Drosophila melanogaster: one gene and its partners. The protein of the gene in region 2 interacts with the protein of the main gene of each other region in a biochemical or structural test. Each region holds a gene or a part of one and is shown on either strand. Other genes may lie near its edges.

What was found.
Region 1: the proteins of MEP-1 (region 2) and simj form a complex in vitro, tested with the Drosophila melanogaster proteins (one study listed by BioGRID).
Region 3: the proteins of MEP-1 (region 2) and Doc1 form a complex in vitro, tested with the Drosophila melanogaster proteins (one study listed by BioGRID).
Region 4: the proteins of MEP-1 (region 2) and Mi-2 form a complex in vitro, tested with the Drosophila melanogaster proteins (one study listed by BioGRID).

Annotation. Positions count from the first base shown.
Region 1 is NT_037436.4:10,662,885-10,667,760, reverse strand, and holds the start of simj (simjang), read right to left. Parts: upstream 3,023-4,876; 5' UTR 2,391-3,022; intron 1-2,390. Other genes in the region: Adi1 (acireductone dioxygenase 1), read right to left, coding at 3,396-3,533, 3,593-3,686, 3,844-3,971, 4,034-4,111, 4,193-4,315; CG8003 (uncharacterized protein), read right to left, coding at 4,835-4,876.
Region 2 is NT_037436.4:2,629,797-2,634,756, forward strand, and holds the start of MEP-1 (MEP-1), read left to right. Parts: upstream 1-1,918; 5' UTR 1,919-2,015; coding exon of another isoform or gene 2,016-2,120; exon of another isoform or gene 2,121-2,180; coding exon of another isoform or gene 2,181-2,325; intron 2,326-2,478; exon of another isoform or gene 2,479-2,670; intron 2,671-3,741; coding exon of another isoform or gene 3,742-3,947; 5' UTR 3,948-4,013; intron 4,014-4,960. Other genes in the region: CG42245 (uncharacterized protein), read left to right, coding at 2,016-2,120, 2,181-2,325, 3,742-3,947.
Region 3 is NT_037436.4:9,039,648-9,045,556, reverse strand, and holds Doc1 (Dorsocross1), read right to left. Parts: upstream 4,183-5,909; 5' UTR 4,018-4,182; coding exon 3,927-4,017; intron 3,729-3,926; exon of another isoform or gene 3,660-3,728; intron 3,525-3,659; coding exon 3,359-3,524; intron 2,170-3,358; coding exon 1,902-2,169; intron 1,834-1,901; coding exon 1,696-1,833; intron 1,213-1,695; coding exon 700-1,212; 3' UTR 515-699; downstream 1-514.
Region 4 is NT_037436.4:19,907,204-19,912,142, forward strand, and holds the start of Mi-2 (Mi-2), read right to left. Parts: upstream 3,013-4,939; 5' UTR 2,877-3,012; coding exon 2,840-2,876; exon of another isoform or gene 2,431-2,839; intron 2,377-2,430; exon of another isoform or gene 1,995-2,376; intron 1-1,994. Other genes in the region: Prp3 (precursor RNA processing 3), read left to right, coding at 3,275-4,316, 4,371-4,939. UniProt on the Drosophila melanogaster protein: ATP-dependent chromatin-remodeling factor which acts in nucleosome-remodeling by catalyzing ATP-dependent nucleosome mobilization. Involved in regulating transcription. Plays a vital role in development.

The DNA of each region.
Region 1 (4,876 bases), 8.0 Mb from region 2:
ATCGATAACAAGTGCCAGGGGGGGTGGGGAGAGGGAAATGAAGTGAAAAGGGGAAGGAGAAACGAGGAAGAGGAAGAGCGCAGCGATACTGCAAAGCCGTCGACTTTTGTTGCTCCACTTGCACAAACAAAAACGCACGAAAAGACGAAAAGAGAATTTCGGCTATCGAGCAAGCTCCCCTAAACTCACACACACAAACACAGACACTGGCAAACTCACCTGCAAACTCAGGTAAATCGACACGCGTGTGTGTGTGTGTGTGCGCGGGTGAGTGGTACCTGTGTGGAGCTGACACGGCAACAAACAAAGGTAACGCTAAAATCTACAGCGATAAATCTAGAAACCGGGCATTCTAGTTCCCAACCTACCAGATATATTTTAACTCTTTCGATTCACTTTTTCCATGGCTAATTGGTTGGAGCTACTAATTATCAATTAATTACATTCGCATTTTATAGATATGTATATTTTATTTTGTTCTACAAATGTGTAAGACTTATTATTTGCATTCTATTTGATTTTGCCTCATTGAAATTTATAGAAGTTCAAAATTCTTATCAATCATTGATTTTACGATAATACTTGGCAAAGATAAGAATTCGCATAGCTAAAAACTCATTTTCTTGAAATAAATCTTATTACAAATTGAATTACCGATGGTTTAATAGTTTGGAAATAGGTTCAGCGAACTTTTAACTCCTCTTAACTTTCGGATTTCACCTGATCCGCTGTGAACTAGTTCAGATATAGCCACCCCTCCCCCACCCACAGAGAAACCAAAACAACAACAATTGCAATTACAGCAACACCAACTAAACTATTGCAACAAGCAAGAACAACAAAAACTACTAGAAATGCGGGTCTGGGTCGTAAAATCGAGACCAAAAGCAGAGAGCAAAGGAGCGGAGAGAGGAGGAAAGGCGAAGAGAAGTGCAAAGCGGTGGCAGAGGAGGATGGGGAGACTCGACGAGACGTCGAGAATGCAGTGCACATAAAGAATGCCAAAATAAGTTTAAAACTAACGACGAACCGGGTTTTAGTGCGTGCGTCTGTATGCGAGTGTGTTTGTGTGTGGGAGCGAGACAGCCAGCAAGGTGGTTTTTTGTATGGCTGTGTATTTGTATTTTGGAGCATGCAACATTGCCGAAAAATGCGTGCGCTGCGGGATGGTTGAGAAAGAGAGAGGGGGGAACCCCAAAAATGAGAGAACCGAATGGGAGAGAGAGTTTGCGAAACAAGTGCATTTCTGCATGAGTGTATGTGTGCGGGGGGTAATTTTCGAGAAATTAACAAGTGTTGCAAAGCTCAAAAAGTGCGTGCGGGTAATTAGCAAGTATAAATATGTAAAACAGAATCAAATACAAAACGAATGGGAAAAAGTTCATTAACACAGTTAACATAAAAGACCGCCAACAAATCTCATTCATAAGCGAGAAATGTGTGTATAGATAACGGGAACGGAAAGAAAAACGAACAGCGGCGACAACCCCTTCCGAATACAAAAAGGAAAAACCGCGGCAACCCAGTCGAGCGACACAGGAAAAAAAGTAGCAGCTGAGACAAGCTCCTAAGCATGGCGTCCCAACAACAACAGATAAAAGCTGTAAAAATTGTCAATATAGAAGAAAGAAAGGCAGGCTGGCTAGCAGCAGCAACAACAATAACAGGAGGGGGGGGGCAGAAGAAGAAGCAGCAGGCTTTGGAGCTTTGCGAAATAATGCGCGAGAGTTAAAGAAGAAGCCGCCAACGCCAACTGCGACGTCGGCAGAGCATTTTTAACGAGCCGAATGACAAGCGCACACAAACAGAAACACCAACACACACAACGGCACTTATGCAGATGCATACAGTCGAGGGCGAAACCATAGCAGTAAGATCAGAGCGTAAACATTGAGAAAATTAATAAATTCAAATTAAAAATGTGTGTTAAATATTACCTTAAAAAACTATTGAAGTGTTTGGCGTTTAGTAGTAATTCATATTACTTTCATTGTTTTGATAACAATACATATAAGTATTTAATTCTAGTGCCAATCATTAAGCTATTGTACATTTTATAGTTTGTTTTGTAAGACAGTTTTAACAACCAACTTTTGGGTTTTATGACTTTTCTTAATTGCCACTATTGCATTGACCTCGATTGTTCAAACACACAACCACACGCACACAAGGAGGCGCACAGATGGGCGACATGCATACGAGACGCCGCAGCAGCAGACCGGTTGAGGTTAAATTGGATAGTGGCAGTGAGAGAGAGAGCGGGGCGAACGAGAGAGAGCGATTGGAGATGGAGCATACATATACATATTGAATTTTTCCTCTTTGGCGTAATGAAAATTTTAGCACTGTTTTGGGGCAAGAAAACGGGGGAAAAAAACAAGAAAACTTACCCGCGTGTGAAAATCCGTTAGTCGGTGGCGCCTCTGCCGCTGCGCTGCTGCTGCGGAACTCCTCTCGATTTTTCCAATTTCGCATGCACAAAACTATTTGGATTTCACTTAATTAATTACACTGCTTATGTACCACCTTATATATGCACTTATGCGTTGGTATGTATGTATATACGCCTCACCAACACACTTGCAGCCCGCGCTCTGCTGACGTCGACGCCGCTGCCTTTTTGCGGCTACTTTTCGAAATATTTTACACGCACTGCAGAATATACTTTGTTTTATATAAATATTTTTGTTTGTCTTTTACTTTGCTGTAAACTTTATACGCAATTTGTTTACTATTTCAAAGAGAGAGTGAAACACACAAAGACATAGACACACACGTACACACACACAGATAGGCCGCTTTAAGCATTCGTGTGCGGCATTTTATTAATCCACGTCGATTTGTTTGTAAATAGATAACGATACGATATTGTATTGTATCCGCCGAATCCACAGATAACGACTCGATTTAATTTCAATTGTGCTTTTTCGCCGCTCCGCTCACGCACACTACCTCACACACACAGACGAGACCGCGTAGCACGTCCGAACGATCCGAGAGATGAAAAAGTAAAAAAGTGTTTGTTTTGTTTTCCTTCCTAGCGATGGCACGCGCATCGATGTTGGCTCGATACTTTCGCTGGCGCTTGGGATTATATACTTGCGCTGTTTTTTCTCTTCGGCGCTGGTACGGTCATACCGCGAATTGTACTCTCTGAGATTCGAGTTCGAAAGTACGTTTAGCATATGCAGCAACCAACTAAGAGATAAAATTCGAAATCAAGTTTTTGGCGGGGTTTATTGATATAGAAAATAGACTTCGAATTCTATATCAAAACTACGTTAATCAGCGAAAATTGTAAGTTAAACAAAAAACTATTGAAACTATTGATTATACACAGCGATTTTATATTTCAAAATATCAAACTTGATGGTAAAAGATAAGATTTAAGGTTTTTAAACCTTATTGAATTGCACAAAGTTTTCCGACTGATGCTTGATGTACGATTTGCGACAGTCCATTTCATCAGCAGGACGATTGTGTGGAGCCCAGACAGGTTCGCCCACAAAATAGCGACGAGTTCTGATAAAGTTCTAAGAAAAAACAATACAAATAGTTTAAGTTTGTATATAAGATTGTCAAAATAACTTACATTGGTATCCAAAGTAAAGCGGTGATATATGCCAGCTGGTATAATGATCAGATCTCCCTTGACAACCTTAATGCGCAACCAGTTGTCCTCATTGCTATAAAGAATAAATAGTTTTCCGTTTTAAAACAATTCCAAAAATGTTATTAGTGTGAGCAAAAACAATATCAGTAAGAATATGAATGCTTGAACTATTTAATTGGGAAAATGTGGCTGGGATACTATAAAATGCGGTGTAAATAAACAAAACTTACTCGCGAACATCAAAGTAACCGGATCCCTCCAATATCAGGCGAATTTCCTCATCCGTGTGCAGGTGTTCGGTGAAAAAGGCTTTCAACTTGTTGGCATAGTCTGGAAGGCACTTTTCCGAGCATGTGATCTGTAATAATTCGAAGTTTACCAAAGTTCGGTAGATGTTTTTCAAGAAAACATCGATCTTGCCTCATCATCGTAGGTGTAGCCACGTTTTGCCCTCAGTTCCGTGAGGGTATTATCGCTCTGGTACTCGTCCGCATTGATCTGCAAATGTGAATGATCAAGATAAGCTCGCCCCCAAGGTCACTTAAGGTTTTTAAAGTCGCAATTTCGCTTTTCACTTGCCTTAAAGTATTCCACGCCGGTCTTCTGGTACAGATCATCCAGTTCCAAGTAGGCAGGCGGATTGCGGTGGTGCTCCAGGCGCTGATCGGTTTCCTCCGTATCCATATACCAAACCTGCACCATTTTGGACTGTTTTAAACGGGTTTTCACGAGCAACGAGCAACAAATAGATTAAACAAGAAAAATTCAACTGGCATCAGCTGTTCGTTTTCGAATTTTCGAAATCGATAACAGACACTCAGGCGAATGCCGCTAGTGCTGTTAACTTAACATTCGAAAATGAATGCTGTTAGTTTTGTGTTCGAAATACTGCTATTTTAAAAACTTCATTTTTGAAATGTTCGATTTAAAACGTAAAATAACCATAATTTTAATAACCTTCAAAAGGAGTTATTTTTCTATTTTTTTTTTGTTCCATTATTACTCTTTATTATTTTACGATAGATATACGATTTTTGGGCAGTTTGTTGTATGTTTTGACTTTAATTGAATTTGTAGCGTGCAATTTTGCCTTTCGTTACTATTATCTAGTTTAATTTGTGTAGACATCTGACAGTTTGGTACTAACAATCTTTTAGTACGCGAAAATGCTAGGTTTCTGGTTTTATGTTACATTTATTGGCGTTACAAAGGAGCACAGGATTACGCAGTCAGTTTGGACAGTTCCTCGCGCAGCTCGGCCGT
Region 2 (4,960 bases):
ACAAATTTGTTCATTTGTTTTCCAACACTATTGTTTTGGGCATTAGACAACTATTTTTTTTATTTTAACAAATATTTTCTTCCTATTTCTGGTCCTCGCTTTGCTAAGCAAAATTACCGAATTACTAGCGATTCGAGCGATAGTTTTCTCTCAGTGCCTCCGCGAAATGTTTAATTTTAGAACGATATTCCGCTATTAAACGAGTCCGGGCAATTTTCGACCGAGTGAACTGAACTGAACTGCACGCGCCAAATGCCGACTAGCATCTGAGCGCCGAGGAGCAGAGACTGTAAAGCGGAATTTGAACCGAATCGCCGAGTTGCACTTCGGCAGAGGCGGAGGACTCCGTGCCGGATGCAGACTGTGATAACATTTTCCTGAGGCTCTGCGTTCTCAAGAGTGCTCGATATTAGTTGGCCGGCATGTGACTTGAAGCCTATGGATTCTGAATGGGACGGTCGGATGGATGACTCTATATCCAGCATATAGCATCGTATCCGTATCAAGGCCGAAACACTTGTGTTGCACCGGCATTTTCAATGTATTTTCAATGCGGACGCAAAGCGAGCAAAACAAAACACAACAAGCATACGCCACGTTGCACTTGCACAGCATCAAATGCCCTGCCATCCTCATTTTTAATGCATGAGGGGGTGCTCCCTCCACCCGGCCACACTCCATTTGTTTTTCCAACCATCGCTGTGGATTGCGTAGCGATTGGGGGCTGCAGCTCCGAAACTGTTCGCTTAAGCGGTCGGTGATAAGACGCGAAATCAAATTTAAAAGCTATCAATTTGATATTAGTTCGGGGACCGACGAAAATCCTTCGGGGGAAAAGCTGCTGCCGCGTGCCAGAATGCAGAAATCGGAGTTTTTCATGGGGAATTCGTTCACGGAAAAACAAAAGGAATATATTTGAAATATAAATTTATGTTTTATTGTCATATTTTTCACTGGATATGACACTAATTTAATTCTTCTCTATCTGTCAGTCTACAGATATTTGTTTGGGTTTATGCAAAAAAAAAACCAAAAAAAAAAAACTTTTGTTTAGCTCCTCTCACGTATTTTATTTATAACTAAACTAAATATATGAAACGCTGTTTTCTCAGTGCATCCTATTTGTGTTTTTGCCAACATATGCTGCAGCTCATAAAATTTCTCCGCTTTGCTGCAGTTTTCATTTGCCTTTTTTTTTCGGCAGCTCTTTTTTGGTTAGCTGTCGAAGTTTTGAAATCAATTTGCAGATGATTTATTATGTTCCCAGGAACGAATAGGGGGCTTCAATCGAGGAGGAGTCTGTGCATACGACATTGCAAATGGAAGCCACTGACGTTGATGAATGCCGCTGTGTATTGTTTTGCTGTCAGAAGCGATCAAATTTCTGTTTTGGAGCACGGAATTCCAGGTGAAGCGGAAAATTTGCAAGTTATGCGACAGTTTTATGCGCCCATTTTTTGATTGGCAGCGAGGATTCGCAAATTGATGGCACGTCTCGGGGCAATCGGTTTTCTCAGCGGAAATGCCAGTTGGAAATGGGAACTTAAGATACTTAAAGAAATGCATCAAAAATAATAGGATAAATATTATATATTTATAGAAATTTTTAAGAAATATTAACTCTTTATCAACAGTAAGCATTTTCAAAAAGTAACCGCTTTTGCCTAACAGTGCTGCCCATCTACAATTGGTTTTCAGGCAGCACTATGCACACGGCAGTACAGCTGTTACTTATCGGTGCTATCGATAAATATCAAGGACTCAAAAATTGGGACTAATAATATTAAAAGAGCAAGCTTAAACTTTAACATTATAACTATTAAAACTGGATTTACAATTGTCTTACGTTACTTTAAAGTATAGCAGTTGAAATCGATTTAGTATTGTCAACGCGCGCTTTCCCACACTGCTCGATAAGCATATGTTTTTCTTATCGACATTTGTGGTAAATAAAAAGTGCAAAAACCGCTGCTAAATCGGTCAAGAAGTGCAATGATATAGCCGCCATATCTGATATGTCCAAGCGCAACATAACGTACGTAAAGCCGCAAGAACCTAGTTTTCTGGCCAAGTTGAAGGCTGAAATTGGCTACAAGGAGGGACCCACCGTAGAGACCAAGGTGAGTTCTACGGGGAAGGCCTCTGCAGCATTCTAATGCGGATATATAACCATTGGTTAGCGTCAGCGATTGGATCCGCAGGACCAGGAGGACTACGATTCTGAGGAAGATTCACGGGAGGACGAACAGCCGCAGGTGGTCGTCCTTAGGCCGGGAGATCTATCCGCCGAAGAGGCCAAAACGGAGAAACTGTTGGCCTCCAAAGGTCGGTACATATGTACAAGCATACATACATACATATCGCTGTAGTACATACATACTTACACGCTCGCACACGCACACACACATGCATATAGCCCACGGTGGCGGCGGCGGCAGTTGCACGTGTGTGCGTAGGTAGGATGTTGTAGTTTGTCTTTCAGTTTAACTTTTCAGTCAGAATCGAGCGGTTGTCTTCTTCTGCCCGGCGTTACATATATCTAAATCATATATGTATATATACATAACTGCGTATATACCGTTGCTTATGTATGAGTGCGCGCGTGTGCTTGTGCATTTTTGCCAAATGAAAATCTAACGGTAGTGCGAAAACAGCAGTTTGTTGCAAGAAGTATGTGTTTTTTTTTTCGAAAAGCACCTTCGGTTTTTCAATCTTTTTAAAGCCCTATGTTGCCATGGCAATCTTGGTCATTTCCGTCCTAAAGATTCCCTTTTTTGCCCAGCGGAGCACCCCTCACACAGACACACACACCCGCAGCAGCTAGCCGACGAGGCATACACACTGACATTTTCATTGGGGGCTCCGCCAAAGCAGAGCATGTGATGAAAATCGTTGGCAAAGCGGGCGCGGCGATAAAGCAGCCGGCAAAGAAGTTAACAACAGCAGCTGCCGCCGCTCGCTTTGTCCGCCTCTTCCGCTCGCCCCCCTGCCCCTTTCAGCCCCACTTGGAAGAGCGCAGAAAATCGGGTGAAAACAACGTGTGCAAGAACGAACGGATGAAGGAGGCGGGCAAAGCGGAGAGACAATGATGAACGAAGCAGGCGAGCAAAGAGGAAAAGAGCGGGCCAAAGTGGCTTGACGACGTGGTGGCGGTGGCAAAGGCGCTGCGGGGAGGGGGTAGGCGTTGAAGAAGGGGCTGGCGGAACAGCGGGGGCGGGTTGCGAATCAGTGGGTGGAGCGGGAGGGGGAGTGAAGCGGGAGCGTCGGGCGAGAAGGGGCTTCCCAGGGCCGAGAAAAACATCTTGTGGGTGCTGCTTGGAAAAGGGGGGGGTCGGTGGGTGGCTTGTTCTGATTTACACCTCCCTCCTCCCCATTTGTCATGCTGCAGTTTTTAAAACCCAGATACATTTTCCAATCCAATAATGAATTGCTGGCATATTAGTCACCTTCCTGGCAATTTTATAAGCAGATCAATTTTCAAAAACTTTCTTGTATTCCTTTTAGTTAATGCAATTTTTAAATTTATTTTATTTATATCAGCTTTGATATATGTATTGGCATTTTTCTCCCTAAATTTGTGCATACTACTTTCCCCAAAATATTTTTCATTCTAAGATAGTTTATATAACTTAAATACTCCATTTAACTTGTAAATAGGTGTTTACTTACACGCTTTACTACGATCATAATAAGTACAGATGATTGCTGACCCATAACTAACTCCCATTTTCAATCTTCCAGAATTAGCCGAAAAGCGAGCGGATCTGACGCAGCCAATAGTCTTCAAACACTGTGTCAAGCAGCCCAACATCGAGAAAAAAGAGTCCCAATCTGAAACCAACAAGAAGTCCGAAAAATCCAGCACATCCAAGAGCAAGAAGTCCAAGGCCGCCAGTAGTAAGCTGTCCTTCAACGAGGACGAGGAGGACGAGACTGCCGAGGATTGAAGATCACACCTTAGTTATCTGGCTATAAGTTGAACCAACCAAGTTAACCTGCAGCGAATGATTAAGGTGAGAAATTCAGGTCAAAAACAGCAAATGATTGTTAACTATGCTTTGTATTTCTTTGTTGCCATGTGAATTTATGAGTTTAATAATGGGGTTTCCATATGTATGTGTTAAAATCCAACTCGCAATGACGCTGTCATCATAGATTGTAGATTTTTCACCAAAGAACTAAACTGTATACTCAAGTTGATATGATATAGTATATATTTGAGTTTTTGCATTAAACATATGCATGTATTGCTGATTTATTGTTATTTAGAAATGAATCATTGAGATTAGATCATGGTTTTGACACGTCGATCGTAAAAATAATTATAGAATTCTTTAAAGATCCCTTAGATTCCTACAACATGATTTTTTCCTAAAGCTTTTCCAAATTTATGTTTTTTAAATAAGTGTTACACGTTTTAAGTAAATTATTAGCATACTAATTATATTTATTATTATCACGTAATGTACTTTACGTGAATCATACTACTTGGAAAAATATTAGTGACTCAAAACCGAATATTTGTGGTGAAATTTTATGTTATTTTCTTCTTTTTTTTAATGTATCTAATGTTACATTTTTCCATTTCAATTGTGAGTTCTTAGTTGGGTTTGATATTCAATCCCAATACAGATTGATCTTAAATCTTGATCAAAGTCCGAAATCTGCTAGAGAAAGTCCTCGGACAACAGGATTATCTAAACTCTGATACCTAATATCTTATAATTTAATCACTTGATTAGAAGAAATGTGGTAAAGTCCTTTTTGATACATGCGATCAATCTCTTAAATTAGTATCTTGTATCTTTACTTTCGATTCAATTGACTTCACCTCTAAGATATTAAGACCCAACTGCCACAGTAATTTCCGCTTAACTTTGTAAATTTGCACTGGAAAATATGAATTGGCTAATTTACTCGATATCGAAAAGGGTCACGTGTATGTATAACATAAAGTTGG
Region 3 (5,909 bases), 6.4 Mb from region 2:
CACTGCAAGAAAAGTGCTTCGATTTTGAAATGATCAGATGAATGTTGAATTTTTCTTTCTTTAAATTTACTTTAAAAACCATTTCTATTAGCAATACCATAAGCCAAAACTTACTTAGTTGAATTGAAATGTGTGATACTTTTTTTTCTCCGTGCACCCACCTCTGCGTCATCTCTGTGTCCCAGGGATGCGGATGGAATCGCAGGGGAGCTGGGAGTCGGCAAAGACCAAACAGCCTGAAAGCCGTCAAATCGCTGCTCATAATGGACGCCTTATCTTTGGAGAATTGCTTTAACTACTACCGGAGTTGGATGTTTTTCAGATACGTGTGACTCGAGAACCGACTGGTCACCATAATGGAGAGCATTAATTTGTCTTAGGCCCGCCAAAGCGGTCGCATAACTGCTTTTGGCCCAGGCACTGCGATATGGCCAAAAACCTGTAAAAACGGAAACGCTGAAGGTTACCGTTGCTCCCCCCCCCCCCGCAAATAGTTTTGCATTTTCTACGGATTCGATGTCTGATTTGTTTATTTTGACCAAAGACTCTTAAAACGAATTAACAATGTATATGATTGCAGCTTGGTTCTTAAACGATCTTATATGTAGCATAGATTAGCTTACAAAGTATATGCACACGTTTCTCACTAATCACAACAGAAGATGACTCCAACTTAAGTATGTTTACCAAATATTTCTTTCAATAGGCCAAAATGGCTGAAATGCTGAAGCTATTTCTTTTCGTTGAGGTTGAAGGCCTTGGTGATGTTGTGGGTGTGCTGGAGCCAACGGGTTGCGAGGCCACAGGACTAACAGGCGCGACAGTTGGCGCATATGTGGCTGGTGGCATTGGCAGAATCTGCGGAGGAACTCCACCAAAATAGGCAGCTGCAATGCTGGGCGGCAATCCGGCAGCTCCACTGGGTCCATAGCTCAAGTGATGGCGGAGATACGGCGACATAGGATTGGCAACTGGATGAGTTGCTCCATAGTAAGCTGGCGAAACACTACCCGTTGAGTCCTGCTCAAAATCCTGGCGCTGGCGCTTCGCCTGCGGAGAATCGCAGCTGCTCACACTGGAGCCATCATCCTCCGACTCCAGCGTCGAGTTTCCGCTGCTGTTCAGCTTCCTTTTGCAGCGGGATTGACCCGACTCGCGGAAACCCTTAGCGAACGGATTGTTATCGATCTTCAATTTGGTGATGCGATCGTTCTGCAAGCATGAGAACAAATTTATAAATTAATTTAAGCACATAAATGATTAATTACTATCAGTTTTTATACAACAATGAATTCTTAAAACGAATTAGCTCTAAATGTATTACTTTTAACACTTGAATTTTCAATTAGATCGTAAAAAGGAACAATAAATAAATTTACGGCCTTATAAAAAAGATTTGCAGATTAAATAAATATGTAAAAAAACGCGTAGTTTTAAATCTAATTTAAATAGTATGAAAAACGATCTCTATTGTTTTTGTCTGGTCGAAATTTAAACTACGAGGCGTCAGTAAGTAGCCGTCGGCTGGGAGGGCACTTGAAAAGTTCCACTGTGATCCTCGTTAGGATCAAACTCAAGTGGCTGGCTAGGCGACAAATTTGAAAATGCCTCAATTAGGCGACGACCCCCGCAGAGTCTTTGTCCTGTCAGACATGTCCTCAATGGAGGACGGAAAGGATGTTGTCTTTAACCCACCTGATAGGCTGTGACAGCTACGAACTCCGTCTCCGGGAAAACGAACGCCTGCTGAGGAGCCCATGGAAGTTGGGTGAGCTCGCTGCTGCGGATGATGTGCAGGCGTGGCTGGTACTTATGCATGCTGGCCAAAACGATCTGGAAATGTTAATGGAAACTATAAGTAACCCATTCAAAAGATACACTATGAGCTCACTCAAACTTACATGTCCGCTGCTGTCCAGTGTATTGTTGGTCAGTTTGACCTTGTTGAAGAGCAATGCCTGGGATTGCCAATGGGCACCGGTCGCCGGACTGTCCGGATGCAGATACATGCGCTGCGGACTCTGGGGCTCGGCTCCTCCGGCCGGAACCCACTGGGAACCGGAGAACTTGTAGCGGCAATCGCCAATGGGCACCATCTCGAGGAGTACGCAATAGCTGGCCTCCTCCTCCAGTCCGCTGAGGGAAACTCGCATCGAGGGGAACATGCGTCTGTAAGGATGAAAAGAATAGGACTTGATTAAGTGGCCTGCCACGAACTGCATATAAATCAGGGAAGGAGCATCGCAAAAGAAGGCGTCGCCCGGGCATCTATTCTATTTTACTTCATATCGCCTGTGATTTGTTGCCCCGGCTAACAAGTGTGTAATTATGGACCGAAAAGTAGAGGGCAGCGGGGAGTCTGCGTAGCGCAACGCATCGATTTAAAAGGTAACGCAAACAGATCTTGCCAGCCCAAAACAATATGCCAACGGCACATGATTAATTGTGTGGATCGTTGGTTCATGGAGGAGCACGGGGAGCAACAGAGTGCTGGAGGAGCTGGGGCAATCTGGCGCCAAGCAATTAGACAAAATCTGGGAGTCGCCCTAACGGCTTCCAAGCGTCGAATGCATGTCTAATGAGCCGAGAAAGTGACTGTTATCGCGGATTAAACAGCACAGAAAAATAATATTTCTACTGGATATTAATCATTTTCAATAAAATATTACGAAATATATATATATATAACAAATATATATTTATGTTCAAGATCTCTTGATTTCTATGATGCCCAGCCATATTCTAAGCCTTGGCCAAAAATAATGCTTGTAGTTGCACGATTTCTTTCCGTGTACATTTGCAACTTAAACTTCGAGTTCAGATCATAATTATGTAAATTTGTCTCGGCTCCCGCTCGGTAGTCGCTGTTCGATAGTTCCCCTATCTGAGATACGCTAGGGTCTGGTCTCATCGCTTTGGAGAAGGGTCACGGACAGGGCATGGAATGGTATGGTATGGTATGGTATGGTGGTATTGTGGGCAAAGTGTGAAAAGCGCAGGTAGATCGACCAAACCCGATTGTCAACGCCGAAACCGAGAGAAGAAAGATTTTTATGATCGGACCGGCGCCAGGGCGGCGTCTTGCTCTTGTGTTCTCCTCCGCCGACTACACTGCACTTGTTGTCACTCCGAGCGAGAGCTCCTGCTGCGTTTTGAGTTATGGCCAGGCGCCACATTAGGCCCGGGAAATCGAAAGGTTCAGGGTATAGGCATACTCGTACTCGTATGAGATAGGAATTGGGAAAGTTGGCCCTGGTACAGGAGCAAATATTTACATAGGCCGTGCGACGCACTTGACTTTTGGAAAAACTCGGGCTATTTGCATAGGATAATGGGTTCGCGGGAAAATGAAACTTACCGGCCGCTCTTTGTGATGATCATCTCGGTGCCGATTTTATGGAACTGTTGCCACAAATCGTTGTTCTCCAACTTGGCCTCCACGCCGGGCAGGGTGGGACGACTGGGCAGCATCATGTGCGGCTGCTGGTGGGGCATGTTGAAAGGTAACATCGATGGAAAGGGATCTGGAAGAAGCGGTTTGGTTAGTTCATTAGCATGGGTTTGCAATGGACCTCTTCAGGGAGGTGGGTGTTGCAGAAATCATATTTCTAAGTTAGCTGGAATTTCGCTATCTATTGTATTTTATCGGAATATAATACCTATTAAGATATGTTCAATCAAAGATTGAAAATAAAGGCAATGCAGTTATGACCACAATTTCTAGTTATAATGATAAGTTAAATTGAAGTAGAATATTTATTGCTCATAAAATCCGAAGCACTAATAATAATCACAATATTAAAACACTTTTAAGTACGCTCTTTTGGGTTGCATATATTTTCTCATATTTTTTAGTTTGAAAATCGCGAAACCATTTGCCGACGGCATTCGATCAACACCCATAGACCTTATGTCTAGAAACGCACCTGGAATCCGCTGCATGATCTGCTGGCGGTAGATCTCGTGGGCCAGCTGCTGCTGCATCCGCATATCCATTAGCTCTTGCATGGAAAGCATTTCGAAGCACTTGCACGGTGTATAGCACTTGGTAAAATGTCTTAGTACGTTCTGATAATAACTGGTAGTTTGGAATTCTTCACTGTTATTCACTCGCTCGTAACTGAAGATGCGCTCTGAGGTTCTTTCACGCTCGACGTTTCGCAACGAACTGATCTCGAGTAGCTCCGCTCGAGTGCTAACTCGCCGTGGGTCGCAGCCAGTTTTTCCCGATGCCAAGCAGGTAGCAGCTACGCTTGGAAAACCGGTTCTCCGTGGGCAGCGCCTGTGATTGGCTGGCGGAAGACGCCTACGCTATGTGGGTACTAGTGTTGTCCCACTCTGGCGAAGATCGGTGGATCGACGGTGGGCGCCATTTTGTGAGCAGCGGAGGAGCGGGAAAAGCGAACTGCGTGCAGCCGAGTGGCGAAGTTAACGCTTAGCCCTGTTGATTTTCATCAGCCGCAGTGTTTTTCTGCGCCACTGCCTTCAAGCCGCATTCCCTGTCTCCCTCTCGATCACTGTCAGTTAGGAGACTTGGATATATGTATGCATGTATGTATATGGATGTGGATTTAGCCGGGCTATGGCGTTGCTTGTAATTCAGAAGTGAGATTTTCCACAGCGCGCCTGTCTGCTGTCTTCAGCTGCCGTTGCCTTTTCTTCTCCTCTCGGTTTATTCTTTTTTTTTCTTGTGTGTCTGTTTCGTTTTTATGTTTTTTTGTTGGTTTTGGCGCTGTCGGAAAATGTCCGTTGCCATTTCCATTGCAGCCGTCTTCCGTTTGGGCGCTGTCCCTCCGTCGTTTGCCATGCCCCCGTGTAATTAGCTGGGTTCCCTATCTTCGACATTGTCTGGCATTTCTCGGGTATTTATGTACTTTGCTGCAGACAGGTGAAACATAAATTTTGTTGGCTTTGTTAATTGCCCGTTTTGGAATTTCGATATGCTATGCCCTCGCTATTGATTTGCCCAAAAAAAAAAAAAACTGAGAAATGGAAAATCGAAATTCATATAGTTTTTGGGCTCTGGCTCGAGGGCCTATTGATTAGTGCTTGTCAGCATTGGAAATTGAGGGCTTAAGTGCCTGCGGGTGGAAGTAGATTGAAATGCACATTCCTATATTCACAGGAAGTATTATAATTGATACTTAGTGAGCCATTGATCATTTAAAACACATTGGACTGAAATACGTTAACGAATAGCTATATTATTCTAAAATATATTAAGACTTACTTACTTACTTAACTTAACTTATTCATCAACGCAAATTGAAAACATGCAATGATTTGTAATTTAAAGAAAAAGGAATAACTTAAATCCAATTTATTTGAAACACCATTTTTATAGAACTTAATTTTTAAATGGTTCTTTATCATTTCCCTTATTTCTTGTGGTCTGAACAAATTTTTGTATTTGGATAAAATAGAAACAATAACTCTGTGAAGATTTATTTGCGATTTTTAGTACTATTACTTTTACTTTAATTACTACTTTAATCAGTTGAACTAATTATAGAATTTGATTAGTTATCTATCGATTTTCTTTCAGGACAAGCTACATACAATTTGGTTCAAATGCCATTGATCTTGAACTTGATTCAACTCATAAGTGCATTCATCAGACAAATCTGTCGACAGACATGCGTTTATTTCCTTGACTCGTCGCCAGCAAATAATTTCAAGCTTGAGTTCGCATTCAGTGGACTAGAAAGAAAGTCAATGTCGAAGAGCCTCTATTAAATTAGCATTTCGCTGTCGCCCTGGCACGCTCTTCCGAGTAATGCCCATTCCCATGTCCCAGTCTCCACTGCAACTCCGGATCCGGACGAGACGGCATATCTCCGGTGCTTGGCCAGCTGATGATGATGACTGGAGATTTCTGGCAGCGAACGGCGCCAGAGAATCGTAAAATA
Region 4 (4,939 bases), about 17 Mb from region 2:
GCGTCAAATGTCAAAATCAAGAAGAACAACAAAAACCATTATCGAAGCGACCTAGTGTTGTTCTACTTGAGAGAGCGTTTTTTGAATAAAAATGAACGTATTTGAAAGCTAAAATAATATTTACTTTTCCTATTTATGTTTCATAGTTTTGTGGACTTTAAGCGCAAGTAAACTTTTTCGAAATGCCAGCACACACATACCATTTACCAATTATACAAGCATATATATTTATAAAGATATGTATATGTATATACATGGCGGATATAAAAAAGCACCACTTGTTGTTGACTTGATTGAATGCAGTGCGTGCGAGCGGGATGGCAAGTTGTGTTTCGCCAAAGCAAGGTAAGATCGTCACCAATACACCAGTAACTGCAGCTCACATACACACACAGTATACTTTCACTTCTTGTATTGAATTTTTGATTTTATTTGTGCTGGCGCCATGTTGTTGTTGTTAGACATGGGGTTTTAAGCAGATTTATGCAGTCGGCAACAGCGAAGCTTTTGATAAAAAAATGACAAGAATGCTCAGATTAACAACGAAAAAATCAAATTATTTGGATCTTTTGAAGATACAAAGTTGCGGTAATGAATGTCATTATTATTAATACATTTGATCGATATGTGCTTTAATTGCATGAAACATTGAAACGGTGTCAAATGCCATTGCGTATTTCTTGCTGTGTACGTAGGAAAAATGCATACGTCATTGCCGAAACCTTCTTATCCCTCTCACACCCTTTTATTGTTGCATTACTGCATAAATAGTGGCACTCATACATGTGCATCGTTTTAGCCTTTTGTAATTTATGCGATGTCGCATTACTCTTGATTGTTTACTTGTGGTAGAGTAATCGGAAATCGGATGGCAATGTTAAAGTAAACAATTTTAAAGACAGCATAGCGCAGCAAATCATAAAAATTATCACAGAACCGGCAAATGGTGAAATTAGGAAGAAGAAAAATGGGGAAGAACCAACGTTGGCTGACGTCACAAACGTGAGGGAAAAGACAGAGCGAATTAAGCATCCTCCTATCGATGTATCGAAGGATAACGGCAGCGAATCCAATTAGAATGAGCACCGAAGGACGGGGAGGGGAACGTGTTAAAATTAGACATTGAATTCTACTCCCACGCTATTTCTCTAGGATAACTTCCTCACGCACGCACACCGTATACATATACATACACACGCCCACAGTGCAACAGCGTCGAACGGAGAAGCAGAAGAGAGGCGAATGAGGGCAGGGACAGAAGAGAGAAGAGGCCTGTAGACAGAAGAGGAACAGCTGCGAACGAATTAACATAAATTGTATGCAAAATTGGGGTGGCTATGGATACTGCTGCTTTTTGTTACACAGCGGCGGCATATTGTTTATCAGTTTTCCTATGAACTACTACTACATTCCAGCAATTTCCTCGCGAGACGGGCACCTTCCCATCCCATCCCTTGGCATCGTCTCTTTTCCACACTCTACTTTTCTCCTTCTTCATCTTACTTGTGTGTTGGCATATTTTGATTAACTCGTTAAAAAGACTATACTTTAGTTGTTTTGCAGGCACTTCGGTAGGATTGCATTGGTAGCTATATTTTTGTTGTTGTTTTTAACTAAATTTAATTTAAACGCGTCGGGTTTCTGTGAGTTTTTTTTTATCATATACGTTGGAGCGACAGAGACGGGGCGACGGCGACGTTTGGCTGGAGCGCGCGTGCATAACACGCACACACACAGAGACGCAAGTACGCGAGAGAGTGGAGAAATCAATCAAGAGAGCACGTCGGCGAAGGGGGAGTGGAAAAAATCACATATGTATGTGCGTCAGTGGAAGTGCGACAAGATTTTCCACAATATTCCACGCATCTTTGTTTCGTTTCTTTAGATATATGCACATATTGCTTCGTTTTCTTTTTGCATTGCTTTCTTACACAATTTATAATATATATATGCATATTTTGTGGTAATTTCAGGTTTTTATTTTTTGCACACACTTTTCATCATTCTTTTTTCGCTTTTCCTTCAGTTGGATATATTACGCACTGGATTTGTGGCTTTACACTGGCAATCGGTAGGCGGTGGCGAGTAATGCACGTATTCCCCTTAATTAACAGTTTTCTCTACAATTAATAATGTAATCTCTTTAACAAAAACTCAGAAATCACGTCATGGCTGCCACGTCCAAGCAACAATGAATGTAAATGGTGGCAGATGAGGCCGTCTGGGCATTCTCGACTAGCTCCAAAAGGGGCACACTATTTTTCTGGTGATACCATTGCACAGCCGATGATAACACTGCATATACGGTAACACCACAATAAGTGTGAACTAAAATGAATTTTCCGTATATTACAATTGACACTTGACAATTCACAGGTAAAGTAAACATCTTAATTGCTAAAGAACTTAAGATAAAACTTAATTTTAAAGGATTTACAGAGTATTCCACTCAAAACTTTCGACCAAAACAACCATGTAAAACATATGTTTTGATGAGTGAGCAGGACGTCTATATATTGCCTGCATTCGCGAATGGAGGGAACACAAAAATGCAATAAAAAATATGTGTGGAATGGAGGAGGCGCAAAAGACCCCAAAAAAACGCGCCACACATGTACAAATTTCACCAATTGCTGTAATACAAATAGTTTATAACGAGGTACAGCAATGACAATGACCAATTAGGATAATAGGCAACAATAAACAATGGGAGGGGGACGCAGCACGCTGCGCGGCTTTGCGGCTCTTGAACATGACCACGGTTCTTAGCCTGACCGAGCGACGGTCGGACCGAGTTTTTTTCACGCCGACATTTGGCCGACTGAAACAATGCACTTACCCTGGAAATTATCGTCATTCTCTTCCTCCGATGCCATTGTAGCACTCGAATGCAACTTTTACACTGTTTGAGCACACGAAATTGTCTTAATTTCCACAACAAATAATTAAGCACACACAGACACGACGAGAAAAAAATAGTCAATTGTAAGCGGCTTCAACAAATATGGCGGAGCGGAGAGCGACAAAAAGTGAGAGAACTAGGGTTGCACCCCGATAAAAGAAAGCGAAACGGTCACACTGGCGACATGACAACCCTGACTTTTATGTTTTTTTAACGACCCTGTCCTAACGTGTTTCGGAGAATTTTTCACCAAAGACCAAAAACCTTGTGTATTGTTTTTGAATTGCAAATCGCTGATTTAAGCTCAAGGAATGTGCCAAGCAGTTGGTAAATAACATTTACTTTTTAGTCCGACCCATTTAATTGCGAATTATGTCGTCCATTATCACGCGCAAGGATGGCGACGACCAGAAATTGTCCAAAAAGCGCGCTGCCGCCTCAGATTCCAAAAGTGGTGGTGGAAGCGCCCTTGAAGCGCCCAAGAAATCCCGCTTCGATGTCCCGGAAAAGAATGGCGGCGGTGGTGAGAAGAAAGAAGAGGTCGCCGTGCCCGCCTCGCTGAGTTCCACGCAGATCAAGCTGATGATGGCCCATGCCCAGCGGGAGATCGAGGAACGCAAGCGGGCCCTGAGTAATCTAAGAGACAAGGATCCGCTGCTGGCGTCAGTTCCATCGATCGGAATGCCAGTTGCCTTAGCCACTCAAGCGCTGGCGAAGAAGCCCACGCCCGAGGACTCGGAGAAGGCCAGGAAGATTGCCGAGTTGCAGGCACAGATCAGGGCCAAGCTTACTGGCAATTTGGCTAGTTTGATTCAGCCCACTGCGGTAGCGGCCGCCGCTGCAGCTGCTGCTCAAGCGCAGGAGCGACCCAAACCCCTGATTCTGGACGATGAAGGACGCACTGTGGACAAGAGCGGACGTACCATTAATATTCCCACGGTGACACCTACATTGAAAGCCAACATACGCGCCAAGAAACGGGAGGTGTTCCAACGCCAAACGGGTTTGGGTGAACGGAGTGAATCGGGCACTTCGGCCCAGGAAGAAGCTATTAAGTACTTTGACGACCGCATAGCCCTGAAGCCCACTGTTAGAACCAAGAGGACGTTGAGATTCCACGAGCCCGGAAAGTTCCAGCAGCTGGCCGAACGAATGCGCATGAAAAGCCAGCTGGAGCGACTACAGAATGAGATTTCGCAAATAGCCCGGAAAACGGGCATCTCGTCGGCCACCAAACTGGCATTGATTGCCCCCAAGCAGGACATGCCGGACGATGTGCCTGCCATGGAGTGGTGGGACTCAGTTATACTGACCCAGGATCTGGAGACGGTAGACGACGCAAGCGGTAAGATAAGCATACGCCAAACAGCCATAACCAACCTTATAGAGCATCCCACACAAATGAAGCCGCCAAGTAAGTTGAAAGCTAGAACATGTCCCACAAGCAACTAACCACCTACTCCTTCAGATGAGCCCTTGAAACCAGTGTATCTGCCGGTTTTCCTCACAAAGAAAGAGCGCAAAAAGCTTCGTCGCCAGAACCGTCGCGAGGCCTGGAAGGAGGAGCAGGAGAAGATCCGACTGGGTTTGGTGGCCCCACCAGAGCCGAAACTGCGCATATCCAACCTGATGCGTGTGCTTGGCTCGGAGGCCGTACAAGATCCGACCAAAATGGAGCAGCATGTGCGCGACCAGATGGCCAAGCGGCAGAAGGCGCACGAAGATGCCAACAATGCGCGCAAGCTGACCAGCGAGCAGAAGAGCGAAAAGAAGCAGCGCAAGCTGAGGGAAGACACCAGCTGCGGTGTACATGTCAGCGTCTATCGCATACGAGATCTGCAGGACAACCAGAGCAAGAAATTCAAGGTGGAGACCAATGCCAAGCAGCTGCAGATGACCGGCAGCGTGGTGTTGTTCCGGGATTGCTGTGTGGTTGTCGTGGAGGGTGGGCCCAAGCAGCAGAAAAAGTATCGCAGGCTCATGCTAACGCGCATTAAGTGGGAGGAGGACAACGCCAAGGGCAATGACGGCCAGGAC